Lepisosteus oculatus: one gene and its partners. The protein of the gene in region 3 binds, or shares a complex with, the protein of the main gene of each other region. Links are inferred from orthologs where the notes say so. Each region holds a gene or a part of one and is shown on either strand. Other genes may lie near its edges.

What was found.
Region 1: heatr3 (region 3) and rpf2 share a complex: the UniProt entries of both Homo sapiens proteins name them as parts of the hexameric 5S RNP precursor complex. The link is inferred for Lepisosteus oculatus from reciprocal best matches to the Homo sapiens genes HEATR3 and RPF2.
Region 2: heatr3 (region 3) and rrs1 share a complex: the UniProt entries of both Homo sapiens proteins name them as parts of the hexameric 5S RNP precursor complex. The link is inferred for Lepisosteus oculatus from reciprocal best matches to the Homo sapiens genes HEATR3 and RRS1.

What each region holds. Positions count from the first base shown.
Region 1 is NC_090697.1:5,196,435-5,207,123, forward strand, and holds the start of rpf2 (ribosome production factor 2 homolog), read left to right. Parts: upstream 1-5,150; 5' UTR 5,151-5,239; coding exon 5,240-5,262; intron 5,263-6,566; coding exon 6,567-6,699; intron 6,700-9,503; coding exon 9,504-9,541; intron 9,542-9,768; coding exon 9,769-9,808; intron 9,809-10,637; coding exon 10,638-10,689. UniProt on the Homo sapiens protein: Involved in ribosomal large subunit assembly. May regulate the localization of the 5S RNP/5S ribonucleoprotein particle to the nucleolus.
Region 2 is NC_090701.1:51,348,083-51,358,939, forward strand, and holds rrs1 (ribosome biogenesis regulatory protein homolog), read left to right. Parts: upstream 1-5,664; 5' UTR 5,665-5,685; coding exon 5,686-6,786; 3' UTR 6,787-8,159; downstream 8,160-10,857. Other genes in the region: adhfe1 (hydroxyacid-oxoacid transhydrogenase, mitochondrial), read left to right, coding at 9,447-9,499, 10,038-10,075, 10,427-10,473, 10,573-10,626. UniProt on the Homo sapiens protein: Involved in ribosomal large subunit assembly. May regulate the localization of the 5S RNP/5S ribonucleoprotein particle to the nucleolus.
Region 3 is NC_090715.1:1,954,819-1,965,739, forward strand, and holds the start of heatr3 (HEAT repeat-containing protein 3), read left to right. Parts: upstream 1-6,056; 5' UTR 6,057-6,252; coding exon 6,253-6,393; intron 6,394-9,070; coding exon 9,071-9,243; intron 9,244-10,407; coding exon 10,408-10,495; intron 10,496-10,687; coding exon 10,688-10,800; intron 10,801-10,921. Other genes in the region: cnep1r1 (nuclear envelope phosphatase-regulatory subunit 1), read left to right, coding at 1,085-1,156, 1,779-1,852, 2,482-2,591, 2,938-2,992, 3,584-3,625. UniProt on the Homo sapiens protein: Plays a role in ribosome biogenesis and in nuclear import of the 60S ribosomal protein L5/large ribosomal subunit protein uL18 (RPL5). Required for proper erythrocyte maturation.

The DNA of each region.
Region 1 (10,689 bases), on a different chromosome or scaffold from region 3:
ATTGTATTCTGTCTTATTCTGAACTTGTTATACATTTGTCATTAATTACGTGAAAACTGCACTTTCTGGGGTTTTAGTACTACCAACAACTACTAAGAGAAGGTTTAGATACTCCCAAGAAGTATGTTACTTTATTGACACTTATGTGGTCAGGCAGTTTTTCTTTCCAGTGCAGGTTGTACAGTGAAGCCATGGTGAGAGACAATTTGTGCATGAATGCCAGCATAAATGTACTGTACAGAAAGAATAGTTTTAATGCAAACTCCAGTATTGTGGTGTAAGGTAGTATTCTTGACCATGTGGCTTTGCCATGCAAAATGTCCCATTGTACTGGGAACGTGGAGTACATTTGAAGTCATTTCATAATGACATTATGGTGGGGTGGCTCTGTGGCTGGAAGGTTGCCAGTTCATATCCCGCGGCCGGCAGAGGAATCCTACTCCGCTGGGCCCCTGAGCAAGGCCCTTCACCCCAACTGCTCCAGGGGTGCTGTATAAATGGCTGACCCTGTGCTCTGACCCCCAGCTTCTCTCCCTGTCTGTGTGTCTCTCATTCATGCTTAAATACTAAAACAATGCCCATGTTTTAGTATTTAAGCATTTCCCCATTACTGCAGGGAATGTCCAGTATTTATTCTACATACAACATTCACATTTAGCAGATTTTGTCCATTTAATCTGAAGCCCGTTAAAAAACGAGAGCTTACTGCACAGTGCATAGTGTGTTTATTGGACAACCCTAATGTGGCAGTGTGAGGTCCCCAGCAGTTTATCCTTTTCACCAAAGAACTGAGATTCAACTGCTCACTCATATTCATGTGCCTGTCAGACAGGTGCTTAATTACTCAGTGGTGTGACTCACTCTGATTAATAGACAAAACATACTTGGGCATCGCAGGAATGCTGGTGACGTGTTGTAGCCATGGGATATTTCACTGTACTTCCAGGCTTGATTACTTCTCCGTAGCTCATAGTTTCATAGCTGTCCTTACTTTTCCAGTTTTTTGGTACTCCAAAAAAAAATAACTCACATTTTCACAAACATACCAGGGTACCCCAGCCACCCTCTGTGGGTGCCTGCCTTTTCAAGAGATAAAAGGTGAATTACCAACAGGTCCAGAAACACAAGAACTTCAAGCAAAAAAAGAAGAAATCAAAGTGACAACACCGATATTGTAAACTACGAATTTATAATCTGATCTTGAATTGTATTGCCATTTTGATTACTGGGCCACATCTTGTTCATATTGTGATTAATGACGCTTTTAATTAGGTAGACATTATAATGAGGGTAAGCTGGAGGTAGCCCAGTATCCCAATCTCCAGGAACAAAGGAGCAACTGTTATTATAGATGTACACACATATTATATACAGTGCCCTTCAAACGCATTGGCACGGCAAAGTGAAAACTTGTTTTTTTTTTTTACAGGAATGTAATTAATATTTGCGATCATCCATTCTCAGCATTTTATTTTGGTGGGTAAGTCCGTGCATTTTGTCTGATCATATTAGAACAGTTAAGAGCAAAAACCCACTCTGTGACCAGGCTTAGTGAACACTTGGAGCGCGCGAAAGCTAGTATCGAGTTGCAGGTGCCCTTTGACGTCTGTAACCCCGAGCTCAACCCGAGGTGTTCTGCTGCAGCTGCTTTGGAGTCCTTACCCATTCTTGGCTTGTTCTGACTTTCGCTTTGTTTTCCCTTTGACGTGGAAAATGCACACGCATTTGAATTTAAATCTGGAGATTCACTTTGTCAGGTCTTTAAGATTTTGCTCTTTTTCCACCTGATCGACTCTGGTGGTTGCACTGGCCTTCAGTCCTGGGTCACATTCATGCTGCCCGGATCGTTGCTTTCGACCTCATCAGACAAAATGGTTCCGCACAGCTCGGGGGTCATTTCCCTGCCGTCGTCATTCGTTTTATCATCGTTACTGGCGAGTGGGACAGTCCCGACAGCAGCTGTGCCCACTGCCCGTCGAGGAAGGGCTTGATCTAACACCGCTGCTGCTACATGGCCGTCACGATTCCCGGTAGACGCTGTGCGCCGAGTCTGCTCCTCAGCTGAATGGCTCACTCTCCAGGGACAAACCATTCCGCCCCACCTGGTAGTCGAGCTCGCCTTTTTATTCACACCCTCGGTACATCAACTGGGAGTTTATTAAGGCATAGAAAAGGCAGGTGCTCCATGAATGCCCCCCCGCACACACACACACAAAACGTAAAACATAACGAGGTTCTTTTTGAAACCAGCTCTCGTCCGTTTTTCCATTAGCCTTTAAGGACATCTAGTGGCAAGCTTGACAATTGTGTGTATTTGATGCCCGGACTTGCACAATTAGAAACAAAGGGATAGGGGTAAGTGTACGGATATAAGGAAATACACAGAAACACGACCAGCGTATGAAAGATAGTTCAGTTGTAAAGTTTTCATACCCGATTTCATACATATTGACACACGTCTGAAACACACACAGCCGAAACGTGGTGTTACTTTTCTTTACCTTTTGGCACGGAATGAACCGTCACCTGATCCTTATGATGGAGAACGTAGATCACAGTTTTTAATTCCGTAGCCTATCCGTCCATTCATTCATCTTCTGATCGCCTTAGCCATACAGGAGCTGAAGCCTATCCCAGCAAGCAACGGGCCCAAGGCCGGACACACCTGGGGCCTCACACCAGTCCATCACAGGGCAGACAGACACTCCCACCAGCGCCAGTTCTCCCAGAAGCCAAATAACCTCCCAGCATGTCTTAGGACTGGGGTGGGGGGGAAACCGGAGCCCCGGTGACACCCACGTGAACTTCTAGTACAAAATTGAGCCGAGGGTCACGGCCGTGCGCTCAGGCGATCAGATCCCTGTTAGGACACTCTCTTTCACCTGCATAACCTTCGAGCTGCCAGAGAGCAGGGCTCTGGAGACTTGCGCAAGCAGCATTTTCGGTTTTTGCCTTTTTTTCTAGGTATCTGCTGATAAATAACTCATTTTGTCTGTTAAAAAAAAAACTATTTTACCGTGTGAGTTCGCAATAAAAATACTGTTTGGAAAAAAAGATGTGCAAGTGTCATTTGTAATCCAGAAACATTTGAAAGGGTCTTTGAATACTTCTGCAAGATACGATTTTTATTGTCCCCTGAGGGATTTGTTTTATGGACACCCAGCACTCATTTAAATCTATTTCTTTAAATAGAGTCCAAAAAAAGAGAAGAAAAGAAAAGAAAAACATCGCACATTATACTATTACAAAAAATAAGAAAAACACTGCACATCATTCTGTTGCACAGTAAAGTGTAACACATAACAACAACATGTAACATTTAATAATAATAATAATTGCTTACATTTATAGAGCACTTTTCTGGACACTCCACTCAAAGCGCTTTACAGGTAATGGGGATCCCCTCCACCACCACCAATGTGCAGCCCCACCTGGTGATGCGACAGCAGCCATAGTGCACCAGTACTCTCCCCACACACCAGCTCTCAGTGGGGAGGAGAACAGAGTAATGAAGCCAATTTATAGATGGGGATTATTATGAGGCCATGATTGATAAAGGCCGATGGGAAATTTGGCCAGGACGCCGGGGTGACACCCCTACTCTTTTCGAGACACACCCTGGGATTTTTAATGACCACAGAGAGTCAGGACCTCGGTTTTACGTCTCATCCGAAGGACGGCGCCTGTTTACAGTATAGTGTCCCCATCACTATACTGGGGCATTAGGACCCACACAGACCACAGGGTGAGCGCCCCCTGCTGGCCCCACTTACACCTCTTCCAGCAGCAGCCTTAGTTTTTCCCAGGAGGTCTCCCATCCAGGTACTGACCAGGCTCACACCTGCTGGGATTCAGTGGGCTGCCAGTTGTGAGTTGCAGGGTGACATTTATAACACAAGGCACTGTATACTACTCATTCTACACGCCCTAATCTTACAGTCTACACATAACTTGCAGCTTTACAATAAGACTTTCTGCAGATAAAAGCCCAGGAATCTCTCTCAAGTCAGTAGCTGGATGGGAGACCTCCTGGCTGCCAGTTGTGAGTTGCAGGGTGATATGGCTGCTGGCTTGCAGGGTGATATGGCTGCTGGTTATTAGTTGAGAATGGACACAAGGCACTGTATACTACTCATTCTATACGCTCTAATCTTACAGTCTACACATAACGTGCAGCTTTACAATAAGACTTTCTGCAGATAAAAGCCCAGGAATCTCTCTCAATCTCTCTCAATACTACACATCATGAGAACAGCCCTACTGGAAGACACAAGACAGAATATACCAAGGAACCCAGAGAAAACCCACACAAACTCATTATATGGGTGCAGCCATATCACCCTGCGGCTCACAACTGGCAGCCCACTGAAGCCCAGCAGGTGTGAGCCTGGTCAGTAGCTGGATGGGAGACCTCCTGGGAAAGACTAAGGTTGCTGCTGGAGGTGTTAGTATGGCCAGCAGGGGGCGCTCATCCTGTGGTCTGTGTGGGTCCTAATGCCCCAGTATAGTGATTGGGACACTATACTGTAAACAGGCGCCGTCCTTCGGATGAGACGTAAAACCGAGGTCCTGACTCTCTGTGGTCATTAAAAATCCCAGGGTGTTTCTCGAAAAGAGTAGGGGTGTAACCCTGGTGTCCTGGCCAAATTTCCCATTGGCCCTTACCAATCATGGCCTCCTAATAATCTCCATCTGTGAACTGGCTTTATTACTCTGCTCTCCTCCCCACTGAGAGCTGGTGTGTGGGGAGAGTACTGGTGCACTATGGCTGCCGTCGCATCATCCAGGTGGGGCTGCACACTGGTGGTGGTGGAGGGGATCCCCATTATCTGTAAAGCGCTTTGAGTGGAGTGTCCAGAAAAGCGCTATATAAGTGTAAGCAATTATTATTATTATTATTATTATTATTAATTAACTCCACACAGATCCCCAGTTCCCCAGGGCCCCAGCGCTGCGAGGTAGCGATGCTGAACACTGCGCCACTAAGCTGCCCAAGAGCCATAGCAAATAGTAATAAATGACCACCGAGCCACCCTCGCAGCTCCTCGTTTGAGTATACTAGTAGATAAGAAAGTGGAAGGGGAGAGTGTGTACGCTTTCACACGTGTTTATGCCATGAGAGGAAATTGCGTAACAAAGGGGGTGGGTCTAACTGAATACTGTTTCCTGTGTTAGATTCACGTGGAGAGACGGCGTTTTCCTCAAGCGTCTGTGAGTTTTATCGATTAAGGTCGTGAAAATGACACAGCTGGATGCCGTAGTGTAAGTTACCAAACATTTTACGATGATGTGTTTGTTTTAATATTATTAGAGAAGCAACCGCACGAGTATTTTTAGTTTAACACGTGGAAGCTTGTAGCGTATTTTGTGAAACGTGCATAGGAAACTGTAGTGAACTATGATCAGTGTTTGAGAATGTAGTTTTTCATTTTTGCGACAGTGCGTTAAAATATGGATTCATTACCTTGGAAAAATGAAATATTCCGATGAATGGTATTTGTGTTTGGTGGGTATGCAGGCGGTTAACTTATTCAGTCTATGTGTTAAGTCACACCTTCTTTAAGGTTTGATTAGATTCCAGTGAAATACCTGAAATTTGTATTGTAAATATAATAATGCAGGACCTAGTTCTTGTCAGGTTAACACTGGCGTATCTATACGGGGGGTTAAGTTATTGGTGAGTATTACTGTAAATCTTGGTAACGCCAAAGAGACAGTTCGTCCACACAAGGTGTTTTTCAGCATCTGGGCTGTTTAATTAAGGATCGATTCAGTAACTTATTGCATTGGTTCAAAGTCCTCTAATGGCATGAAATAGAAGTTCCAGGGTTGAATACGTTCGGTCTAAACCTCTGGAAACAGCCCAGATGCACTTGGGTACTGTCCCCACAAAGTGAGTATTCTTGGGTGCATAGAGGCCGAGGTGCTGTTTTTCAGGCTTAACTTGAAGAATAAAATTGTTATTTTTTTCCCATACTGCTATGATTTCTTTCACTCTAATCGTTTTTAGATATTCAGCTGCTAAAAACTTTGCAGTATCTCAGTGACTAAAACCAAAAAGTCCCCAATTAGAAGCATAGTTGTACAGATTATTAATGTATATTTGGTATTTTTAAAATCCTTGGAAGGACATGTTTCCGAACGAACTCTTTAACTGCTGAATTCCTCTGTGATATTTGAATTTAGAGGCTCGAAGGGCCCTTTTTTAAAAAAAAAAAGTTTATTGTACTCTCGGTGTTTTAGGTTTAACAAGGTAAATCCTAGTAAAACCACACCTTGTTTCCAATAATATGGGTGTGAGAAATAGCAAGGTGGCTGTCAGAGGAAGACCTGTAACTTGTTACAGAGGAAAACAGACAGAAAGGCCATGTGTGTAATTAAAATATATGGCAGTATGGGATGTGGAGTTGCCTTTTTCGCAGAATACCAGCTACAGTAGGTTTTGGCTGGGTACGTTTCCACAAGCTTTTCACCTCCCCAATTAGAAGTGTCCTTGTCAGTGTTTGTAGCTTTTTGCATCTTGATCAATTCTCTTGCTTCACAAGACCTTTGTTTTGAATCTGCAGAAAACCCAAAACAAAGCGATCGAAGAGGTTTCTCCAGAGCCGGGAGCCCAAGCTCACTGAAAATGAGAAGAGTGCGATGCTCATCAAAGGGGGGAACACCAGTGAAACTGTCACCCAGGCTCTGAAGGACCTTGTGAGTGTCGTTTCTCTCCGATGATCCCTGTAAGCGGTTGCGTGTGTGTAGGATCCCAAGGCGCTTGACACAGCAGGGGACACACTTCATCCACGGTAGACCTGCTGGAGAAGTGAGATCGTTATCGCCAGTTTATTTAGGGAGCAAGCCCAGAGTGACATTTAGCCACAACACCAGGGTAACACTCAAACTCGTTTTTAAAAGTGCCATAGGGTCTTTTCCGAGCAAGTTACCAGAACCGTGGTTTGACATCTAATCCGAAGGAATGGATATTACAGCACAGCGTCCATGATCAATGATATGTCCTGCGTACTCTCTGCGTCACCCCAACCCCCACCAGAAACGTGGTGTAGGATTTAAGATTCCAAAATATGAGTAGAGGAGTTTTTTTTGCCATATTTACACCACGTACATTGGAATTCTTATTGGTGCGATCTCTCGGGATGTGCACAGTACAGCAGACAACACCACAGAATGTAGACTGTACTTTACAAACTTAATAAGTAATACAACCAGAATGATAAATATGTTGTGGGATTGTAAATATGTAGTAGTGAGAGACAAAAAAAACATGGTCGACTATGCAAATAGTGCAGATGTGTATTGACTCTGAGGCACTGCAGATAGCTGTTGAGGATGTGCACTCAGTAGGGTAGAAGCTGTTCTTGAGTCTAGTGGCCTGTGCTTTAACAGTGTGGCACCGCTGGCCAGAGAGCAGGGGTGGCTGGGATCCTGAAGGATGGATTTGGTGATTGGGCCTTATTGTGACAGTGGATGATCTCACCGATTGATGGTAAATCACATCTTATGATCCTCTGTGCTGTTGCCACAGCCCTTTGTAGTGCATCTCTGTCATGAGTGGTAGTACAGCTGTACCATGAAAATATAAGGGTATGGCATAAACTGGACACTTCTTTGTCCAAAAAACTGGATATAAAGCTGTTTTTTAAAACTCCCAGGACATAAACAGTGTGTATTTCTTTCAGTATTCAAATGTTTTATTATAAACCTTTTCCTGAAATTTGTCTGGAACTCATTTAATCTGCAAATCATTTGTTAATGAGTCCACATTAGGATTTTTGAACATTTGAATAGCTTTTGCTTAAAAACGATCTGGGAGAGATGCCCGGAAGGATTTTTGCTGTGTGCTGATGCACAGTGGAAATGCATCAGTTCTAACGGATTCAATCAAATATTTTAAGCGTGCAAATAAAACAATCACAGCACTCGAGTGAAAACCCATCAAAATACATCTGTATGTTGCATCTTAACACAGTCCTGCCAGCACTGATTTTTGGCATACCATACCACTTTTGCTGTGCCTCTGCAGTCAGCTGGCAAAGCTGATCCAGAGGCCCGATTAGATTGAGCAACATAAGCACCCGCACACTGCTTGCCCAGGTCGCTGCACGAGCTGTGGGCCTGAGCTTCGTCCAGGGCAGAACGGCATTCCTGAGTCATTCCACTGCAACTCTGTTGCCTCCATCTTGCCTGGTCTTCAACCGCTGAAGGCAGGGATTTTGTCTCTCGGCTGTCGGCGTTTCTTCTGAACGTCAGCAGGCAGATCCTTTTTGTCCTGGCAGTTTATTACAGCTGTCCCGTTTATATGCAGGCTACTTTTCTCATGCTGCAGTCGGAGATCGTGACAGGACTGGTGAATCTTCCTGTCCTCGGGTCTGCCAGTTACACAGCCTGTTTGCTGCTTTCTCTGGACTGGACAGCTTAATTTCCCGACAGGACATCGGCACGTCATCTGTGCACTTTCTCACCACGAGACCACCCTCCCTTATTCCAATCCTAAATGAACCATAAGAAAGGTTTCAAAAGAGAGCAGGCCATTCCACCCATCAGGACTGTTTTGTATCTAGTAGTAAATGAATCAGAGGGGCCAGGGTGTAGACTCCACAACACGGCTGGGTAGTTTTTCCACACTGCCACAGGCGGACTCGGACATAGAAAAGGCATCAGGTTTGTTCTTGCACCAGTTGAAATGATTGATAGATAAGATTTTATTGATCCCGAAGGGAAATTGATGTTACAGCAGCCCGAGACGAGCAAAAAAGACAGACATCAGAATTGGCGAAACATAAGAATGTACAGTAATACAAAATAAATATGAAATACAGTAAATTAAAATAAATACATAGGTGTGTGCACAATATGATGATAGTCACTGTAAAAACAGTAAAATATGTGCAAAATGTGCGTAGGTTTATACAGACTGATTGTCCCCAAAAAAAAAGTACAATGGAGCAACATGCTGTCCATAGACGAGCAAATGAAGGGCTAACAGTCCTAGACTAGGGCAGCGTTATACACCCTGACAGCCACCGGGAGGAAAGACCTGCGGAAACGTTCCCTTGAACACCACAAAAACTGGGTAGTTTTTCCACACTGCCGCAAGCGTACTCAGACATAGAATAGAATAGAAATGCTGTGTGCACAAGGTCCTTAATCAGCTAATTTTGTCGATTTTGTCGATTTGTACCCCACATGGCTGCCAGTCACTGAGCGTCTGTCGTTCTTTATAAGATCACACCTTCACAAGGAGCAGCGCTGCTCAAAATGTTATCTGCTCAGTATTTCAAATGAAAGCATCTTGATGCCTGTGCCCCGTGAGCTGTTGAAGTGTTTAAACCATCGTGTTTTCATCGTGCATCAGTGTGTTAACACGAGAACGGCACCAGTTGGTCTGAAGTGTGAGCAGAGACCACATGGGGGACATTTCTACTTTCAGAGCAATGCGTCTTTTTTAAAACCATAAAAAATGACTTGTGGTAAAAAATCGTTCTTCTTTTTTTCAGTATTCCCTGAAGAAACCAAATGCTGTTACTTACAAAAAGTAAGTATAAGTAACATTTTCAAGAGCTGCATTGTTAAAAAAGAACTACTACTTTGCTTTCCGTGCTGGTAATTTTTAAATTGATGCATTTTATGTTTTAATTTCTCTTTTAATCAAATCTTTAATCTAGTTCTTGTACGCATTTAGTAAAGTTAAATCTTTCCAACAATGAGGAACCATGAAGAAATGTGTGTGTTTGTTTAAAATGGGACTCTTTCATTTTTCAGAAAGAATATAACCAGACCCTTCGAGGACCAAACATCCATCGTAAGCAGCTCTCAGCTCTTTTGCTTCTTTTCACTCAGTGTAGCACTCTGTCCTCTAATGCAAACTTTTCCATCGAGGGCACAAGGCAAATCCATTGGACAAAACAATATTTCACTTCGAGATTAAACAGGTGTTGCTCTGTAGAGGAAAAACACATCTACACACAGAGCTCTTGGGCACAGGACAGGGGTTGAGCTTGAGTGCCTTGAGGTTTACCATTTTCTCCATGTGTTTAATACCCAGGAGGGGGGTTCAGATCCTCTGCTGGACTCTTTCACAGGTCTGCCTCTTAGGTGTGACCCACCCGTTCCGGTGCTGTACATTTGCCTGCGATGGGATTGGGAAGTTTATACTGTCAGATGAGTTTAGAAGATACTCCATTCTTACTCAGGGACATAACATGCACTTAAAATTAATTAAAAGCTTTTCTGCAGCATGGGGGCACTGCAATTCAGCGTTGCTGCATCATAGTGTTGGGGCTCTGGGTGCAGTTCCTGGGGTGCTGTCTGTACAGCATGTTCTCCCCATGTTTGCGGGGGTTTCCTTTGGGTGCTCCTGACTCATCCAGCAGCCCAAAGACATGCTGGTTGGTTAGCTGACATCTGGGGAAACTGTCCGTGATGTGAGTGTGTGTGTGCGCGCCCTGTGATCGACTGGCATCCCACCCAGGGTGTAACCCGCCTTGTGGCCGTTGCTTCCTGGGATAGGCTCCGACTGCCCTGTAATCCAGAGTTGAACGAAGTGGTTAGAAAATGGATTGATGGAATTAAGTATTTAACTCCCCCAGATTGCTTTTAAACTGGCTGTACTATTTGATTTGACCTTGCAGGAGTTCTTCTCAAAGAAGTCGGACTGCTCTTTGTTTGTATTTGGCTCCCACA
Region 2 (10,857 bases), on a different chromosome or scaffold from region 3:
GGATTTGCAGTTTTGATTACACTGTTATGTTATTACACTGTTATTGTTGTGTTACTGTCTATTGTCTTATCTTCTGTTCTATTTATATACTGCACCTGAGTGACTAAGGAGAAACACTTTTCACTGTACTATTCACCTGTGTAAGTATAATGACAAATAAAGTTGAATTGAATTGAATTGGCTTGGCAGAGACTGATAGGGGCATGAAATATGTACCCCAGGGATGTTGTTTCTTTCAATCTGTAAGGCAAATACTGTACAGCAAATGTGTTTGGTGCTAGTGAAAGAGTCTAGCCATCCTGTCCCACAGTTGCGTTCAAACCTGGAGTACCAGCACTGTGTCCAGCAGGACACTGATCACAGTTTAATGCGGAAAGCTTTGGGTGGCCCTTGTCATGTTAGGACAGAAGCATGAGCCGAAAATGTAAAGCATCACTTTGACGTCAGGTGTTGCTAATGTAGCAACAGAAGGGACACAAACCCTACACCTCACTGTGCAGTAGGACAAACACTGACAACAACAGGATAATCCAAAGCTCACACTGATCCCAAAACCACCAAATAACAAACATTTCCAGTTTTGAAAATTGTCATTCCTGTAAGCAGACCTCAGACATCTGCCCAGAATAGAGAATAGTATAGTTTTCTATTCTGTAGAGCAGCCTGCAAAAATGAGTTACACACGTTTCTGATGGGATTCATCTAAAAACACAATGTTCGTCCTGTACAAACATTTTCCTATCTACAGTATGTTGATCCACAGACTGAGTCATGCAAATGAACGTTTTCAGTGACACAGTACAAATTGTACGCTTGCCTTTTTTTCATTTTAAACAGCAAATACAACAAGGGGGGCTGATGCAAGTTGTCAACATGCTCCAAAGCATTGATAAAACTGTCAAGTGATGGGCTAAGCTGGGCTGAGTAGCCACCTCTCATCTGCCTCCTTTCTTAAATTCTTCCATCAGAGGACAGTGCCACTGGAGTGTGGCCATGGTAGGTGAACGAACTCTGGACACCCCTGAGTAACTCCAGGTGGCTAAAGGCCACTGAACCATGACATAACTGCTGTGAGATTAATACTGACGAATCTGTGTGCCTGTAATTTGTGCAAACATCACCTTTGCATGTGCAAACTCACACACACATTTCATGCCACGCACGTTGTCACACGTTTTCACACTTCGTGCTTAGGGGTTAGGGGGATGCACACATTGAAATTGCCCCAGAGGAATCGTAAGCTCAGGCATTTTCAACAAGCATGTCCCAGCTACTTGTGTCATCCTAGTTAGACAGGTGAAATGCTTAGCATTGTGTAACTAATTATGTAAAATACGTGCACTACATTACTAAAATATTTCAGTACAATGTAATATATTTTGTACTATATTTTAAAAGCAGCATGATTTCCTCGGTCCATGATGTTTTATAAAGGTATTATATGATTGTGCTTCTCAACTTTTTTTCTCTTTCATTTTCAAAGTGCTTCTCAACTTTTTTTCTGTTTCATTTTCAAACTGCTTAATAAATGGAGGTAGTGGTATTCATTGCTGACAATAAAAAACTGCAGTATCCTAGTCTCTTCCATCTTAGTCATAAGAAACAGTCAGATGTTTCCACACAGGGCAGTTTCAATACAGGGCATATATGTCTGAGCTGAGCAACAGCACAGACTTTGGAACACTTTCTTTCTAAAAAACAATTGTTTTTTGGGTGTTGCTTTTACATTTAGCAACTCAAAGGAAAAAGATGATTTCTGTATAATACATTTGTAGGTAGTGCGCTCACTGACCATAGCATGACGCCTTTATATACACATGCTCAAATGTCTTAAAGAACACTAGTGAGCTTTGCTGGTACTGGTGGCATCGTCTCAGTCTGATTTGTTCTTGTGTTTTCATGCTGTTATGTTTTTTGTAACGCCATGATCCTAACCAGGACTGAAAGTGGATTGATGAATGTTTTCTGTAAACTAAAGAGCTTCTTTTCAATGCTAAAACTGATGGAGGGCAATCTTTGCAGACAATAGTACTCAATGGTCAGCCTGTAGAGGTTGTGGGGAGTCTATGGGAATGCATATTGATCAGAGGCATAGTTACACCGAGAATACAGACAACATTTTTTAAAAAGCAAATCAGAGATGTTTTTAATTCAAAGACTCAAGAACTTTAATGTTCTAATTTCATAATATCCTAGAGATGGCATATAAAAGCCTTGTTGAGAGCATCCTGGGATTTAACATGACAGTGTGGTATGGAAACCTAAACTGTCCCGGATTGTGAAAATGGCAGGAAAAATAACTGGGAAACAGCAGCCCCAGCTCTGCAACTCATATCATAGTACAGTTCTCAGAATGCCCAGGAACATCACAGCTGACTCCACACATCCACTCCATTCCCAATTCCTAATCTTCCCATCAGGAAGACGGTATAGGGTACCAAATTGAAATAAAAACATTTATAAGAAGTCCTTTGTCCCCTCTGCAATAAAACTACTTAAGGAAGGTATGTAAATGTAGTCTCCCCTCTAAATATTTATTTATCCATCTATTTATGTATCACATACTGTTGTTGTGATTTTATGTGACTCTTGTGTTTTGCTTGTGTGTTTTGTACTTCTGTGAAAGAAGCCAAAGACAAACTTCCACAGCAGTGGACAATAAAGTATCTATTTTTGTAATATATGACTGCCTGCTGGTCTGGCTTGTAGTTTATATGTTCACCTATGCATAACAATTTTTATCTAGCATATACTGTAAATTATGAAGAAAGAAAATACTTGGAAACCTGAATGATTTGGGAATGAAAGGCTAAAAGCGCACTCTCAGTAGAATTGCTGTCTATATAGATCGATGTTAGAATTATAGTTATTGGAGCCTGACTCCAATTTAGCCAAGGAAACCTATCATAGTATTTTCACCCCATAGTGATTTTGTCTGCTGCTTACCAAGACATCTCCACTGTCAGTGAAGGGGCTATACTTCAAAGCCTGTGTACTCATTCCCAAATGGAAATAATTACCCCTGCTGTAATTTTGGACTCATTGAGAAGTGTGGCTCAGCTAGAGCACACAATAAGAAGCTTTCTGAATCACTACTACTGATGCTATGATGGTGAGCCACATGAGACAAGTGGTTTATGATGACAGGACCAGTGCCACATGGAACAAAAAATCCTTGTTTCTTGGCACTCTTTGAAGAAAGAGATGGGCTCCAGCAGTAGAACATCACCCTTGAGTCTTTTGCTGGTAGCATCTTTCTCAATCTTGTTTTTTTTTTCTTCTAACAAATTGTAGAATTGAGAGTTGAAAATGTTTGACTCAGTTTAAAGCTTTCTGCATGTTGAGGAAACTCATACAGCAAAAGATATGGAGGAAAGTAAGTGGATCAGAGCATCCAATATAAAGGTATGACTGCACAAAGGAAAAGTCCCAAATAAAAGTATTACTTTTAAAGCAAGCTGGTTTGTTCCACTTTCCCCTGTGGTTTATGACCTCTTTATTCAGGATGCAGTACACAACATTGTTTGCTTTTTTCAAGTAGGGTTGTTTTGTTTCACAGTTTTTACAGCACTGCCAGTCTTTAGGTTATCAGTTTGTAACACAAAATAATCTCTAAAAGCTTCCCAAACAAATTGTTGTTAGAATTTAATAGCAATAATATTATTTATGCCTTTGTCTAACTTCTTTATTGCAATATTTCTTTTGTAGAACAAGTGTTTGCTTTCTTACACAGTAAAAAGAGAAATCCTGCACAAAAGTAAAAAAACCGTTCAAAACTGCAGTTTCGAATTTATCAGCTGAATGGAAAACGGTTGCATAGCTTGGGATGTGAAATGTCAAAAACAATATTAACTAAATATGTTGAAACTAAAATAATAAGATCACTTTATCTTTCACTCACCAAGTAATTGCAAAAATGCACACTTCATACACACTTACAGTACAGTATGTAAGTACAGTTTGTTGAATAAGGTAAATAATATATAGGACTGGATTAGAAATATGAGCAAGACATTACTGTCTCAGTATTATATTACAGTATGTTTCCTTTCCAAGTAAGTGGAACCACACCAGAGTTCCTCTACAACGATTTCCAGATCAGGATGTTTGTGCTCCTCTTAAGGACCTTAAAACAAAGGCACAGTGTGCTCTTTCCACAAAATGAATAAAAGCCAATTTAAAAAAAAAATGTTCAATACTGACTTTATACATTAGGCCCAGTTGGACAGTGTTTGAAAGAACTAGGATGAACGTTTTGGTTTTCATCGACCGCAAGATCTGTAATCACTTTGATGTGTGCCTATGAAACCTGCTGATTTTATAGTGGTTTGGTTTAAAAACCTGCCATATGAACGATGTAGCCTTGGGACAAATGTACAAAGGCTTTATGCAGAGTGCCCAGGGAGGCAGTGTTCTAAGAGAGTAATGTGCAATGTGGTGTGCAGACTTTCAGTTCATGTATGCCAACACTGTAAAGTGACCCCTCTTTTTGACACTGACATTACATTTAATCTCTGCATCCCCAAGTTAGGTTTACTCTAGTGGCAGGCCTGGAGAGAGAGACTGCAGCAGATACAGGGACTGGCAAGTATTTGGAGCTTACAAACTGTAAATGTTGTGTTTCAACTTGTTTTATCTGTGGCACACTGACAGGTTCCAGCTCCATTCACCAGGAGCGAGTCAATATGTGTTTCATTCATGACTCTTCAGTGTGAAATGCAGGAAGACTGGGATTAGCACTGTTTAAATCAGACAAACTAAACGATTTTTTTCCCTTGAAGAAAAACACATTTGTCTTGTTACTGACCGCCACTTTTCTTTCAGAAATTAGTTGCTTGAAACTATGAAGAGTTATTTACTCTAATTTCGTATTTACGATTTTGTTTATTCATTTTGAGTGAACTAGGCTGTTAAAAGATCATTCATAGGATATACTATATACTATATATCGTATAGTTTTGACTAACATTTATTTCTTGGAAAAAGATAAACCTAAGTATGTCTTAAAATAATATATATGTATGTATGGTTCGAAAATAAAGATTTTGAAGACGTTAATTAGAATTTTTAAAGGAAGCCATACTCCGTTAGAAAAGTTGTTTCTCTGTGTTTGTCAGTAGAACTTAAAAAAAAAACTCCGCGTTTAAAAAATGAATTTAAAGAGCCCGGGGTCAGGTGAGAAAATTATATTACGTAACTCCAGTATCAAAACATTACCTCGTGTGTGGCGTAGTCTATATAATACTCGACATAGTCAGCTCGGTCTAAAATTATATTGGTTTATTTAGCCAGGCTAAAGAATTATGTATCGGGTTATGCCCTAGCTACGGTATAGTTACAGGGGGTGGAAGGTAAATATTTATGAAGTCATGGACAATTTGACTAAGGGTGAGATACTATGAGAATATGAAGGCTCAGTCCTTTAATGATTATTAATGTATTACTGAGTATTATTAAAGAAATTCATTTTCACAACTGGTTTGCATAGAAGGATGAGAGGTATGTAAAATTAGTTTAACAACAACTATAATTTATTTTGGTTATACTTTTTCTTGTGAAATTTCGATATACAGTTCTACGCCTGAAATGCGCATTTCTCCACCACGGCTGAATATATATTGTTTTAATTTCGTATTTACGGTTAAATACCGCCACATAGCGGAACCTGCACGTAAAACCACATCCATGGAGACCCGGAAACAGTCGCTTGACCTTTCCCACGGGCTCCAGCGTGCTTCCTTTGAGAGCGAGACCGTCATGGCGTCCTGCAGTGTGGAAGACGTGCTCGCCAGAGCCGAGAAAGAAGAAGCCGAAAAACTCAAAAGCATCTCGGTCCACAAAGAACTCGAACTCGAGTTCGACCTGGGGAACTTGCTTGCATCTGATAAAAATCCTCCCCACGTCCGAGAGTTCAAGCAGCAGAAAAAAGAGGAGTTCCTGCGCTCTCTCGCCCGGGGCAACACGCAGCTGCTCATCAATGAGCTCTGGAAGTTGCCCACAGAGAGGGTCGAGGAGGTGATAGTGGCCAAGCTACCCGACCCTTCCACTCGGCTGCCGAGAGAGAAACCGGTGCCTAAACCCAGGGCGCCGACCAAATGGGAGGAATTCGCCAAGCTGAAGGGGATCCAGAAGAAGAAGAAAACCAACCTGGTGTGGGACGACGTACACAAGGAGTGGAAAAGGCGGTGGGGCTACAAGAGAGCTAATGACGACACCAAAGAGTGGCTGATCGAGGTTCCCGCGACCGCCGACCCCAACGAGGACCAGTTCGCCAAGCGCGTAAAGGCCAAGAAGGAGAGGGTGGCCAAAAACGAGCTGAACCGGCTGAAGAACATCGCCCGGGCGCAGAAGATCAAAGTGCCCGGCGCTGGGCTGACGCCCGCCAGCCAGCAGTCGAAAGCGGAGCTGCAGATGGCCATGCAGGTGGCCAAGACATCCACGGCCTCCGTGGGTAAGTTTCAAGACCGTCTACCCAAGGAGAAGCCGGCTAGAAACACGGGGAAGAAAAGGAAGTTTCAGCCCCTCATCGGCGACTTCTCCAGCGAGAAGCAGAAACAGCTGGACATGCTCAAGATCATGGACGGCAAGAAACCCAGGCTGGACATCACCAAAGCCGTCAACAAGCAGATGAGGGAAGAGGATGTGGAGTCGGGGTCCAAGAGGAGGAAAACGCCAGGGAAAAAGGGCCGCAAGGGTAACTTTTCTGGGAAAGGAAAGGGGAAAAAGGGACGCGCTGGAGGCGGAGGCAAGAACAGAAAGCCACGCATGAAGCAAGGGAAGCGATAGAGGCGCCACGGGCTTCTCGCGTTTTGCCTGGCGTGGAAGAGGAGCGTGTCTAGATGCAGTCGTCATTCGGTGTTCTGTACAGAACGAACTTTTTCTGCAAACCTTGGTGCCTTGTTCCCCCCCAAAGAAATAACCGTGAGGCCCCGTGGAACTGGTTTCACGTTTAATGGGACGCACATCAATGAACTGTGCACTGGGTTAAATATTTTTGTATCCGATGGTTAATAGGACACATGATATGGTAGTTCAGGTGCGTAGCTGCGTCAGCTGCAAAGGAACAAGTAATAGGTTTATTCCCTGCTGAGAAGTGACGAAAGGAAACAACGTTTCGGCTGGAAGACTCTTTAACTCTTACACCCGAAGAATGCTCCGCCCCGCCGAAACGTTGTTTCCTTTCTTCTCTTTTCAGCATGGAGTAACCCTATTGTTCCTCCACATGATACGATGCCTTGCTTTGCTTCTTTTGCAGTGTACGGTACTGTGCGTGACAATTCGCTGGATGAGTGAAATTTCTCTCGACTGAATATTAAGTCTCTCCGTAGAATCGTGTGTTGTTTTCGCTTTGAGCTCTGAAAGCCCTTCGTCCAAATTGTTTTTTGTTCATTTGCCTCATGTAGAATGCCCATCTGTTAACAAATGATAAATGGGTGTAAATGTAGAAGACCTTATCATGAGCCTAAATGTAGTTCAGATTCTATTGTACAGCAGCATGTTTTAATTGATATTCGAGTTGCATTCTCTTTTACATCAGGTATTTATGAAACAGAAGAGTTGATATAATTGCAGCCTTAGTCTTGACCTAGATTCAGTCAAAATAAGCTAGTGATATCTGGTACCTGATACAGCTGTAACTGCTGTGCAGTGGAAATCTGTCTTGCCTGTCATTTTGTCGGTTTTATGATTGGCCTTGGTCTAACTTTAGGTTAGGTTAACTTTAGATCTAACTTGCTGACCTGACTGGGTGAAATTCACTTGATTACAGGCCCTAGATGGGCTCTATACTATCATGACACATACAATGGGGGACTGTTTTTTCAGCTTCTGACAGGGAATAACAAATATTCAAAGTTCTGTACTACTTGTATTCTGAATACATTCTGCGTGTGATAGTATTTTTACAGTTAATGGACTCTTTTATGTCTTCAAAGATGGTTTTTGTAATGTCTTTCTAGTTTGTTTGAAGGGCTTAAAGGGTGGTAATATGAAGGCCCAGCATTCGTATATGTGCCTAAAGTTAAGAAAATTAAGTGTCGGACTTGGGAATCTGAATATTTAAGGTGTGCATAAGCCTAATTTTGCTGCTGTCTGAAGAGTAAATATTACAGAATGTATTTGAAGTTGGTGGCTTATGAATAAACGTTCACCAAACAGTTGCTGTGGAAATGTTCATTTTCTTTGTATAATCTTAATTACTTACTACTGTATGTTTGAGTGGTGCTGTTTTAATAATCACTAGTGTTCATTGTTACAGTGGTAACCTTATGTCATTTAAGATCTGAAATCTATGCAAATTGTATGAGAGAATCGGATTCCCCTCTTGAAAACAAACATTTAAGCTAAAGTGAAGTTTGAAGATAAGAGATTAAAACTCTGTTAATATACATTTTAATGCTGTTTTGGTGTACTTCTAGAACTTGGCCTTGTAATCTTATCAACATGTTATTAATCTTATTAGCCCTAACCTTGTGGTGGAGACTAAAATTGGTCTACAGATAAGTAAATGTGTAAGAGGAATGCCACAGTTACTATGACAACGGCTAAGTTTGGGTTTCCCTAGGTTAAGGGTTCCTAATGCTGGTTCTGGGGAGTTCAAAACCAGCAGCTTTTATAAGTAATCATTAAACCATCACTTTCTACACGACCTGGCTTGACAAGTGATCAATTAAAAACGATGTGTTGATTAATTTAGAAAGAACTTGTGGCAAACATCAGAATCCCCTGAAATTCTCAAGGGGTGAAGTTCCCTTAATTGGACCAATGTGTTTAATTTATCACTGCTGCTTCTGCCCTATAAAATCGGGTAGCTGAGGATGTCCTGTAAGACCAAACGGCGCGACTGTCTTGCGTGCAGATCTTTTGCAAGTTATTGGAAGAGCTGTGTGCCTTTCGTACCGCTAGAGGTCGTCGCAGCTTCAACAAAACTTAACACGGACAGGCAGAAATTGTCCTTTCTCTCCAGTCAAAACTTTCTGTACAGTAAATACACTAGACACTGATGTCCAATGTATTGAGTGTCAGCCACATCTTGGGTCTCAAAACGAGAAGAAGTTTTAAAAAGACGTCGATACAACTGTATTTTAATGTGCTGACTTATTGAGTACTGCAGAAAATGAGGCTTCAGGGTCCCCAAGTAGCACCAGTCGTGAACAGCACATAATCGGAATTAAAATTAACCTACAGCTGCTTTATGACTTTTTTTTATATAAATTATCGAAATTAATTTACATAAATTGTCTAAATGTTCATTTACACTAGAGAACGACACGTTAATGTCCACTGCTGAGATGCCGGTGTACTAGAGAAGTCTAAAATGCCAAATAAATATAAACAGAACAAAATGTTGTGATCATGTTAACGTGCAGCGCTATGGTTTCGCCTCAACGGTCCTCCTATATCCCACAATTCTTCCGCCGGAGAGCCCCTGGAAGACTTCGCCTGCAATGGCAGGACGTGAGAGAGTCGTGCAGTTGCTCAGGCAATTGGAAAGGGCTGCGTAAGTTTCTTTGCAGAAATCCGAAAATGGGGTTTACGGGTTATACAGAAACGTCTCCACCTGTAAACATGCTAATGTTTGCTTACGCAGTAACGCATACTTACCCAATCGTGCTACTTGCTTACATGTGTGCAATTCCTAGAGCCACGTAATTCAGAGAAAAAAAAACAAATCGGTAATATTCAAGATTATTTGTTCGTCTGTTTAAAAAAATATTAATTGTGGTTGTTCCTTAGAACGATCCTTAAAAACAGTCATACATTCAGTCGATAAAGCGACTTGTTGAAAGAAAAGCTGAAGTTACACTTCAAAGTAACGACTTTGCAGGCGAGTGTAGAACAGAACGTGCACAAACCCCAGCCATGCGAGAGGTGTCATTTTTTGACAGATGGGTGGCCTTCAAGTTGGGATAATTATGCATTAGTCTTAAAAGCAGAATACAATAAATTACCACATGTAAAAGCATGTATAGTAAATATTTAAATAAAATATGTACACTATTTGATTTTTGAATTGTTCTTTTCCTGTTTTGTCACAGGTGCAGATGTCCTGCACATTCTCACAGCTATTATCAAGGTATTTTGTAATACGAAGTTGCGTTAAAGCTGAACCCGGTACTGTTGCCAAATGACAAAGGATTACAATTATTCTGAAGTAAAAATGGCGTGTTTAAAAATCTTCAGCTGGGACCTATGGCTGAAGTTGAAACAGGACAGAAGATTAATAAAAACAAAGCAGAAAATGAGGAAAACTGCAAAAAATGAAATTATAGATTTATATTGTAGTTTTGTTGCTGATCTGTTAATCTTAGATCTACACTCTGGTAGAAAATATTAGATTTATTCAGATTCAGTATACTGTACATTCCAGTTCTCTCTCTACAGTTTTAACTTTCCTTTTCATGACAAAGTTCAATCTGTGTTCTAGCTTCAGGGCATACATCAAGTGGAAAAACAACAGACTATGCATTTGAGGTATGTGATTTTAAATTGTAAATTCAGTAGATTCAAAGTTGTGCTTAAGGCCTGCAAACTAGTGCTGAAACATTTTTACTCTACCTGCTTATATTTCAGATGGCCTGCTCAAACATCAGATATGGAGAAGGGGTTACCAGAGAAATTGGAATGGTAATGGGGTTTTTTTTTCATAAATTTGTGAGGTTAAATCCATCTCTCTCTGGGTATATGCCAAACATGACCAGCTTATTTAAGTTGTTTTCACTGATAAATTACTTTTTTAGAGTTAGTTACAATATTGCACTGAAGATCTGAAAAGGTCCTTCGGCCCCTCTAGCCTGTTTAGCAGTTAGTTGTTAATTGTTCGGTGGGCCCATCCGGATGTTTCTTGAAAGTTTCGTT
Region 3 (10,921 bases):
GTAAACTAGTGTTAATTTGGCTTTGCAACTAACTCTGTAGTTGCAAAGACGTTGAAACACAAACATGTAACTAACATCCTTGTGAGTTTTACAATGAATGTGTGGGACAGTGCAGTAATAATATGCAGGATCTAGAAATTTAAGATCACGAGTCATTTCACACTACTATCCACCTGTTTGTACGCGTAATTTGTCTCTTCTTTTTTACGGTTTACACAAAAATCATTTATTCATAAATATTGTGGGGATATTTTTAACCGGTGCCGGGTTTCACCATTTAGGAAACTCCCATCATTTTTCTCCACTGTTTTGGGGATAGTGTGTTGAGATCTGTTTGAAAAACAATTCGTCGCACATTTATTACTATGTTTTATTGTCTCGTTTAAAACATTTCTTGACGTATTGTACAATACGTAAATTATGACCAGAAATGCGTTTTGTCTGCTTCTCGTCGGTATGTATTTATCATGCCTTTGTATGTTTACAGGGCGAGCGTGAATGTGTGAATTCACGTTGCAACTGTGTGCACCTCTTATTATCAAGCTTTTAATCTAACATGCTTACACGCGCGCAGCTACTGCGTCTTTAGGTGCCTTCAGAAATCAGACCTTATTTTTAAGCCTCAAACTTGTGCGTTTGGGCATTACACCTTCTGGAGTTTAAATGTCTAGGCTTGAAGTAAAGTTGTGTCTGTGGCCAAGGAGACGTACATGTTGCACTGAGCTGCTTGAAACATCTGCCATCTGTCTCCATCCATCAGCGCAGATTGTGTTTCACTTCAGCTTGGGACAGAAACGAAACCCAATGTTCTGAAAAGGAGAGGTGGTACAAACAGTTGGAAGTGTCAGGATCCATGAAAAACTGCATTATTAACTCGCTTGAGTAAAAAAATCCTACATGTTGTCAAGAATTAAATGTACAGTCCACAAGCCTTACCTGGAATAAGCAGAAAATTTTGGATTAATATCCAAACTGGTGTTTCCCAGTAAAAACAAGTTTTAAACGGTTCACATTAGAGCATGTGACTGTATGGTGTTGAAGGTTAAGAGCTGCGTCTAATGGCTTGGAGATCTTTTTTGTGCAGATCTGAAGGCGTTTGAGAGGAGACTGACAGAGTATGTGTCCTGCCTGCAGCCTGCGACAGGGCGGTGGAGGAGTGAGTACTGACAGATTACATCGACCCGTGAGGATGGAATTGATGGGTTTCGGACTGGGGCAAGAGCCTTTTTGTTTGTTTTGCTAGTGTTTGTCAACTGAGGCAAATTATCAAATCTTTGCGCTAGCTACCAATCACGCATTCCAAACCCTGTGTTAGAGTAAAAGTTCCAGGGAGTTTCTGGAAAAGAGTAGGGGTGTTACCCCAGCATCCTGGTCAAATTTACCCCCTGCCTTTACCAGTCATGGCCTCCTAATAATCCCCTTCTTTGAACTGGCTTCATCACTCTGCTCTCTTCCCCACTGAGAGCTGGTGTGTGGGGAGCGGACTGGCACACTCTGGCTGCTGTTGCATCATTTGGGTGGGGGGGGGGGTAGATTATTATTATTATTATTATTATTATTATTATTATTATTACATTGAGGAATTTTCATTGGAAAGAAGGATGAAGCCTGTATTAAACTAGAAGCCCCTGCTGCATAATACTGTTCAGAATTAAGTCTTGTTGGAGGCCATGAATGTGTTGGAGAAGGAACTGAAATTGAGCTGAGAGATTTGGTATCTGCCCAAGTTCGCAGGTGTTCTCACATCAGTGTCTTCCCCTGTGCTCGTCTCTCCACAGTGATTCTTATCGTGGTGTCTGTCTGCACAGCGACAGGGGCTTGGAACTGGCTGATAGACCCAGAGACACAGAAGGTATGTGTGTAGCCACGCCGAGGCCGGCTGGAGGCAAGGATTTCATCAGTGGCTTCTTTAAACTCAAAGGAACAAGTAACAGGTTTATTCCATGCTGAAAAAAAGAAGAAAGAGAACACAACGTTTCGGCCGTGGAGCCTTCTTCAGGTGTGAGAGAGACAGGGCAGTAGGCAAAGGTAAAGAAGCGGGAGAACAAAAGTTGGGAGGGAGGAGGAGTGAGAGGCGGGAGCAGGGGACAGAAAGAGAGGCCAATCAAGAGGTGTGAAGTCAGAATGGGTGCAGAGAGGTGTGAAATGAAACTTCCAATGAATGGAGAAAATGTAAAAGAACAGTAGTCTGTCGTTAAGAGAAGGGAGAATGTGTGATCCTAGCTGCAGAATAATTTTGGTTTCGGTGGTCTTTCTGATGTATGAGTTCGGAAAACCGTCTTTGAGAACACAGACGGAGAGATTAGAGTGGTCGTGGCCGTCAGAGGTGAGATGAGAAACAATGGGCTTGGAGAGATCTTTAATCTTCACAGCCCTGACATGTTCTCTGAAGCGGTCTCCGAGTCTCCTTCCTGTTTCTCCAAGAACTCCTTCGAGTTCTTTAAACTCAATCTGTTTTTATCCTTTTCATGTGTTTTGCAGGTGTCATTCTTCACATCTCTGTGGAATCACCCATTCTTCACAATTAGCTGTATAACATTGATAGGCTTGTTCTTCGCAGGAATACATAAGAGAGTAGTGGCCCCATCGATGTATCCTTTTTGTCTTCAAAGAGCTGTTTTGATACAACTGCAAATAAAAGCAGATTCGCTTCTGTTAACACAAAATCATTTCTGGGCCAACTTTAATGGCAGTGTCTTATAGCTTGACTCACCCGTAGGAAACAAGGGAAGATTAGCCTCTGTTGGGCTGTGGCAGACAGACCTGTTATCTCTGCGGACTACAGTGTCGAGATACAGAAATATTGTGACAGTCCTACAAAACCGAGGAACACATGAAAAGATGTTATGTTAAATGTGAAGTAGGATTAATCTAGAAACAAATGCCACAGATTTTTCTATAAAGTTTTCTGCTGTTTCTTTAACCCACGTTCTTCAGAATCGCCGCCCGCTGCCGGACAGTTTTAGCAGAATACAACATGTCCTGCGATGATGTGAGTAGACATTCCCAGCACACACAAGGCTTCTTAAGGAAATGTCATAAAATGGTTGGGAGACCTCGGGCATGAATGGAAGCTGTATTGTAGTGAGCGGTGCTGCACTTGAGGAGGCATAGAATTGTTGCAGTTGTTTAATTGTGAATTGGTGCGTTTGAGGACGCACAGAAACAGGAATCAAATGATCTACTGCAGTTGGATTCTGCATTGTGACATCTGTGGAAGGCACCATCTTGCAGTGGGATATGACAGATGAGTTTCTGGTTATTGAGTCTCCCCTGAATGGTCTATGAAAGCACATTCCCCTGTTCTGTTTGCTGGGTCTTAACACTTAAGCACAGCATCTGGAAGTGGAGGAGGATTTAGAATGAAATGTTGGAAATCTTTGAATAATTTCGTCTTTTAGTAGTGAGCACTGTTAGACCAGGTTCATAGAATCAAATGTTATTTTGGTATAACGCAGTTGAAGGAGCATGTAAAGTACTTCTGGTTTTAATCTGGGAATCTTTAGGGCATTCATTTTGTGTTATTGTGGTGCAAGTGAACATTTAATCAAAGGCGATGGCTTATACCATCTTCTTTCTGCAGACAGGAAAGCTTATCCTGAAACCAAGACCACATGTCCAGTAGCACCTTTCCCGAGATGAGAGTTCTGACCAGAGACCACCAGGAGAAATCGAAATAGCTTTTTTAGGAGCAGTATCTGTTGAGTGATATACAGACAATGAACCCTTGGAGGCCATCATCTAAAAGAGAGGAAGAGAAGAGAATAACAAATAGGTGATTTGTAAATTATGTTTCTATGAAATGCCAAACATCATGTGGAAAGGTACTTTTCTGTGTTGTAAATTTCAGTGTTGCTGTGTCACTTTAAAAGCCCTTGCTTGTGTGTGAACCAGCTTATTGGAATGTGACCAGGAACCTCCAGCCTTGGTCTCTTTTACTGTATTTATCTTGTGTATTTGCTGTAAATAGTGTGGCACATCTCTACCACACCAGAGTGCATGGGTGTGCATGTGACTTTTATCTTTTAATCCATCTTAAAGGGAAATATCATGGTTTTTCTCCTAGATCCCAGCAACGGGATTATTTTCTCTCTGTTGCCAAAGCTGTTAACTGTTGGGTCTTGTCTCTGGGGCTCTAACACTACGCAGTCCTGTGTCATTTACCTTGACATGGTTTGTAAAACTTCAACCGATGCGAAGTCCTTGAGCCTTTTTAAACAATTTTTATATTAAATGCAGGAAGGTTTGAATGTTTGATGTCTGCATTGCCCACCTGTATTTGTGCTTTTGATTGATTAAATTTGTCAAGTGTTTTTTTCTTTTGGCTGTACTGTGAAGGCTAAAATTCTGTCTCTAAGAGTCATGAGCTCAGGACGTTGCAGCTCTGATAGTGATGATTCACTAAGTGTTCTTGTGTGAACTAAGCCATCTTGTATCAGTTAGGTTTTAAGGTCAGGAATGCCAGAGAGTCCACTGCAGAACTGGAAATAAAAAATCTGGATCTGTATAAAGAATTGTTATATTCCAGTTTCTCCATATTACAATGTTTAAATCATGAATTGCTTAAAATATTGATCTGGAACTCTGGGCTGTCTTCTGGTACTTTTGAATGCTGGTACTGTATGTCTGGAAGACTTGTATACCATTTTATTTTTTGTTGATTGGAAATTAATTAAAATAATCCATCTGAAATTGACCTTTTTTTCCTAGGTTGAACATTGACATTTTTTCATTTCCATGGTAGAAGTGTCTTTGGAGATGAACATGCTGCATTGCTAGATTCAGAAATCGCAACCCTGTTTTACTCAGTTAATAAATAGGACTGGATGCTGAAACATTCTCTCTCCATGAGGATGCCAAAAATCTGAAGTATTGTTGTTTCTTTGAAAAGTTATTTAAATGACATTGGTCAAAAGCCATCTGTTGAATCTTTTGTGGTCTTGCATTGCATTGTATTATTTCAGACTGTCATAGCTTAGAAGCATCATAGTAGAATTTTATCATCACTTTATAAGAAGAATTCTCTGAATGTTTTTTTTTATATTTTTGCTTTAATTATTTCTCTGGCAAAAAAAGTCTTACGGGCACATGACTAACCTTTTGATTTCCAACAGTGCAATTGTAGCAGATGTTTATTGTAACTGATTTAATTTTGTTCCCCATATCTTTCAATAAATATCAATTTTAGTGTTGTGTGTATTGTTTTGTGTTTAAACCTCAACAGCAATTCTGAATGGATGGTGATGAGACTACAGCTAACATTTAGAAATTAAGCTTAAACACACACCACTCACAAGGCCAGGCCTGGATACCCAACTACCTGAATATTTGCTTTTGTGTGTTAGCTGAATCAACATTAGCAACTTCCAGACAGAATCTTTTGCCGATACATTAAATACCATCAGTTCGTTTCTGACAGAAGAGACCTCACAGGACAGGGGTGTTGGTCACACATTTATTTTTGCGGGGGGTAGTCTGTCTAGCCTAAGGATCCCCATATAACTAAATTTGTGAACTCTTAATGTAAAAATGGGTTCAGCGTGCAAACCCAAAGACTACCGATACAGAATTGGCACTTACCATCTCTGTGAAGGTTATAGTTTTACAGCAGTATTAAAACAGTCTGTTACCTCTGTACTGCCTGGAGTTTTTCTCTGATGAATAGCAGAAATGGTTTTGCACAATGAAAAATGTTAAATGACCTCCAACAGCTCAAATGCAATGCGAAATGAATACCCAATATAGAATATGACTGCCTCGTTCATTTCTGACAACATCCCGCTGCTTAGTCGCTCTCTTCAATTTCCTTCTGCTGTTAAACCTAAAGGGCCGTGATCTTTTTAATACCATTTAAGCTACTGCATGTAAAATCAACTGGAAGCGCAAAAGCAGAAGTTTTAGAGATTTTAATCCGTGCCACAAAACACGATTTCTTGATTTTTAAAGTCATGGGACTTGGGAGAGGCTGTTCCTTCTCCGCGAGGCGGCAGCAGCCCCCGCGCGGCGCCCGAGCCCGCTCCATCGCGCGCAAGCCCAGCCCCACGCTCGGCGTCAGGCCGCGCGGCGTGCGCGTGCTTGCCGGCGCGACCGTGGCGATGGACGGCGGCGGCGTGCGGGGCTGAGCCGAGCTACACTACACTACACTGATCCGCACATGGCCGGGCGCAGCGCTTGAGATCGGAGTGCGTGTGGGTCCCGTAACACAACCGCGCCTAGCTGCCACTACCGCCTCGCCCCGCAGACGACAGCGCGATGGGCAAGAGCAAGAACAAGAAGTTTAAGCGGCCGCAGTTCTCGGCGGAGGGGCTGCCCGTCAGAATCGGCCAGGAGGAGGTCGAGGAGGACGGAGAGGCTGGAGAGGTCGACACCCCAGCCGGCGAGCTGCTGGACAAAGTAAGAGGTTTTCGTCTGGCGGCGGTGTCCGGCGGTGTCGAGGCCGGTTGAAACTAATGCATCTAATCGGCGTCACATGCTTCCGCTCGGCCCGGCTGTCCCCCAGTTTAAAAGGGCTGAGCGGAGGCACGTGCGATTAGCGCCCCTGCAGGGAAAGTTAGACCGCTTTCTCCTTTTAAACCACCACCAGCGCTTTTCTTCATCTTGGCGTGTCTGTAGTGGTTACAGAAAGTTCAGCGACATGTTGCCAGGCAGGACAGTTTGTTTAGCACACTACAAAGCGCGCTGGTATTCACCGACTCTTGGATTTGGGAGCTGGTGATTAATTCTCCTTCCTCTTCCGAGTTGTTTTCCATGCATTGGTACGCTCCTCCGTTAGTTTAGTCTAAACGATTTGAAACACGAAAAGATCATAAGTTTGTTCCAAACCCCAATAACTCTCTGTGTAAAGACGAGCCTTTGTTCTCATATTTAGATGCACTTAGTGTACACTTTTATCGCGATATTGTAACATCGTTTGCGTTTTTATTGTTCTCCCAAATTGTCTTGAAGATGATAATTGTATCAACATAAATACATGTTTTCTGTAAGTGGACTCAGCGCAGAACTAGTTTCCTCTATTGTATCTATATATTACTCTTCTGCTTGAATGTGACTCTGCACTTGTGGACATCAATCAAGTTCTCAAATTTCTCTGTCACTTCTTTAGTGTCTGCAAATTGATTAATTAATAATGATATACGGTCATGTGTTATTCATGACAGTCGTGGTGGGGTCCTGAGTTTAAGTCCGGACCTGGGGTGCTGTCTATGTGTGTGGAGAATGTGCCAACTCCTGTCCTCCCACAGTCCAAAGACCTGGCTTCTGGGAAAACTGGCCCTGTTCTGAGTGCGTGAGTCTGCGTTCGTGTCCATCTGGCCTGTGATGGACTGGCGTCCCACCCAGGGTGTTCCCTGTTTGCACCTGTTGCTTACTGGGATAGGCTCCGGCTTCCCTTAGACTGTGAATTTGATAAAGTGGATAGGAAATGGATATGATAAGATAAGATCACTTTATTGGAATATACAATTTCTTGCATTAGGAATTCGTCTTTTCGCATACCCTCGCCTGCTCTCCATGAGACACAGACAGGGAGAGAAGCTTGGGGTCAGAGCGCAGGGTCTGCCATTGTACGGCGCCCCTGGAGCAGCTGGGGTTAAGGGCCTTGCTCAGGGGCCCAACGGAGTAGGATTCCTCTGCCAGCCGCGGGATTTGAACTGGTAACCTTCCAGCCACAGGGGCAGATCCTGAGCCACAGAGCCACCGCACTGCCCCCGGTGGACGAGAGCAATAAAATAACTCATAGTAATGATCCGTCAAAAAGCCTGTTGCTGAACCAAGGCCTACAAGGTCTAGAACTAGAGCTCTCTTTGGGCATCAGTGTGCAGGAATTCAACGGACCCTGTTTAACTGGTTCAGTCTGTAAGGAAGTGGGGGCTCGTGTATAGTGCAGGTGTGTATTGGGTCTGAAGCGTTGCAGTTAGTCGTTAAGGATACATGCTGCAGTAGGGTAGAAACTGTTCTTGAGTCTAGTGGTCCGTGCTTTAATAGTGCAGTCCCACTTGCCAGAGAACAGTCTGTGGCTGGGATGGTTGGGATCCTGAATGATGATCGTTCTTTATTGCGACACCGGATGATGTGAATCTCACCGATTGATGGTAAATCACATCCTATAATCCTGTGCGCTGTTGCCACAACCCTTTGTAGTGCGTCTCTGTCATGCATGGTAATACTGCTGTACCACACAGTGATGCCACTACTGAGGACGCTTTCTATGGTGCTGCAGAAAATGCAGGCGCTGTTGTGCCTTTTTCAGACCGGCTGTTGTGACACCAAGCCAAGTCCGTAGAGATCTACAGACCCCAGGAATCTGAAGCAGCTGACAGTTTCCACTGCTGTACCCTCGATGCTGATTGGGGCGAGACTCCCTCTGGGTGTCCTGATGTCCACAATGAGTTCATTTGTCTTGGTGACATTCAGGGCCAGATTGTGGTCAAGGCACCATCTTATAAGGTGCTCCACCTCATTCCTGTATGTGGACTCGTTGTTGTTGACCAGCCCAATAATAGCGGTGTCATCTGCAAACATATTAATGTGGTTGCTGCTGTAAGTGGCTGTACAGTCGTAGGTGAACAAAGAGTACAGCCTAGGACTGAGACAGCAGCCTTGGGGAGCTCCAGTGTTTAGGATCACTGTGGAGGAGATATTGTTGCCAATTGTCACAACCTGAGGTCTGCCTGCCAGGAAATCCAGTATCCAGTTGCAGATAGAGTTGCATAAGCCCAGATTCCTGAGTTTTGGGACCAGCTTGGTGGCAACAATTGTGTTAAAGGCCGAACTGTAATCCCTAAACAGCATCCTAACATACATCTGTCTGAATGTTCTAGGGAGTTATGTAGTGCTAGAGATATGGCATCATCAACTGACCTATTCAGGCGGTAAGCAAACTGAAGTGGGTCAAGAGATTATGGGATAGTGCAGTATATATGACAATACTGGGCTTTCTAGGCACATGACTGAAGTGAGTGCTACTGGGCAGAAAATCACTCACACAAGTTGCCTTAGGGTTCTTGGGCAGTGGCACAGTTGGAGTTTTCTTGAGAACTGTCACGCCTGTGTCTGTGTGTGCCTGTGGCAGCTGCAGAACCCGAGCCCGGACGTGCGGGAGTACACCTGCGCCAGCATCTCGCGGATGGTGCAGCAGAGCCAGGTGATCCCGGCCTTCCTGCAGAGGGACGCCGTGCGCTGCCTAGGGCCGCTGCTGCTGGACCGCAGCCTGTCCGTCAGGGAGACCGCCGCCGGCGCACTCAGGTCAGCAAGGGGGCGCTGGGCTCTGGGGAGCAGTGGGGCGCTCAGGTCAGCAAGGGGGCGCTGGGCTCTGGGGAGGAGTGGGGCGCTCAGGTCAGCAAGGGGGCGCTGGGCTCTGGGGAGGAGTGGGGCGCTCAGGTCAGCAAGGGGGCGCTGGGGAGGAGTGGGGCGCTCAGGTCAGCAAGGGGGCGCTGGGGAGGAGTGGGGCGCTCAGGTCAGTATGGGGGCGCTGGGCTCTGGGGAGCAGTGGGGCGCTCAGGTCAGCAAGGGGGCGCTGGGCTCTGGGGAGGAGTGGGGCGCTCATGTCAGTACGGGGTGCTGGGGAGGAGTGGGGCGCTCAGGTCAGTATGGGGGCACTGGGCGCTGGGGAGGAGTGGGGCGCTCAGGTCAGTACGGGGCGCTGGGCTCTGGGAAGGAGTAGGGCGCTCAGGTCAGTACGGGGCGCTGGGGAGGAGTGGGGCGCTCAGGTCAGTACGGGGGCGCTGGGCGCTGGGGAGGAGTGGGGCGCTGGGATGAGCACGGGGGCGCTGGGGCGGAGTGGGGCGCTCAGGTCAGTACGGGGCGCTGGGGCGGAGTGGGGCGCTCAGGTCAGTACGGGGCGCTGGGGCGGAGTGGGGCGCTCAGGTCAGTACGGGGCTCTGGGGAGGAGTGGGGTGCTCAGGTCAGTACGGGGGCGCTGGGCGCTGGGGAGGAGTGGGGCGCTGGGATGAGCACGGGGGCGCTGGGGCGGAGTGGGGCGCTCAGGTCAGTACGGGGCGCTGGGGCGGAGTGGGGCGCTCAGGTCAGTACAGGGGCGCTGGGCGCTGGGGAGGAGTGGACTGAGGCCTCCAGGCTCGCTGCCTTCTCGTGAGTCGATTTGTAGAGACGGATGGACACCACATCTCTCTCAACCCTACAACAGCCTGCTGTTCTTCAAACAGTGCAGATCAGGCCGCTGGGGGACGACTGCATCATTTGCACACCTGAATACGCCGCTGTGATGTCAGATAACACTGGGTGCCGCTGGACAAGGAGGCGCTGGTTTCTGGGTCCTGGGCTTCTCCGTTTCCCAGTCTTCCTTGTTTATCCATATATCCGGACTCGGTCCGGGTTCCTGCCCCCCACTCACGCCCGGCACCAGCGGACTGGCTGGAGCAGAGCGTGACCTCGCTGTGTCTGTTGTCCCAGGAACCTGAGCGCGTGTGGCGGGTTCGAGGTGTGCGAAGACATGGTGAGGCAGGACGTCATGACGCCCCTGACTTCTCTGCTGCGGGAGGTGAGGTCCTGGAGCCTGCTGGGACTGAGCGGGACCCCTAAACTGGCTTTTACTGTCTTTTCCCCGCCGTCACCCCTTCTCTCAGTCATTCTCTTTTTAGCCTGATAAAGGCCGGCGAGGTACGCGTCTGTCGTACAGAGCGACGTTTTGAGTGTCTGATTGTTGTGTCGTGTGTTTTGTGCTCTGCTGCAGTGCTGCGCGGGGTTTGACTCGAGCTCTGCCCCCTCCCCTGACCCGGACAGGGACCGCAGGAACTCCCTGGAGGCTGTGGCCATCGAGGCAGTGAACCTCCTGTGGAACCTGTGGTAAGAGGGCTGCAGAGCCCAGTGCAGGGTTGCTGGCTCTTCGCTGGCTGCAGAGCCACACCGTGAACAAATCACTGCTGATCAGAGCAGTGTAAACACTCCTCAGTTCCCATTACTGTTA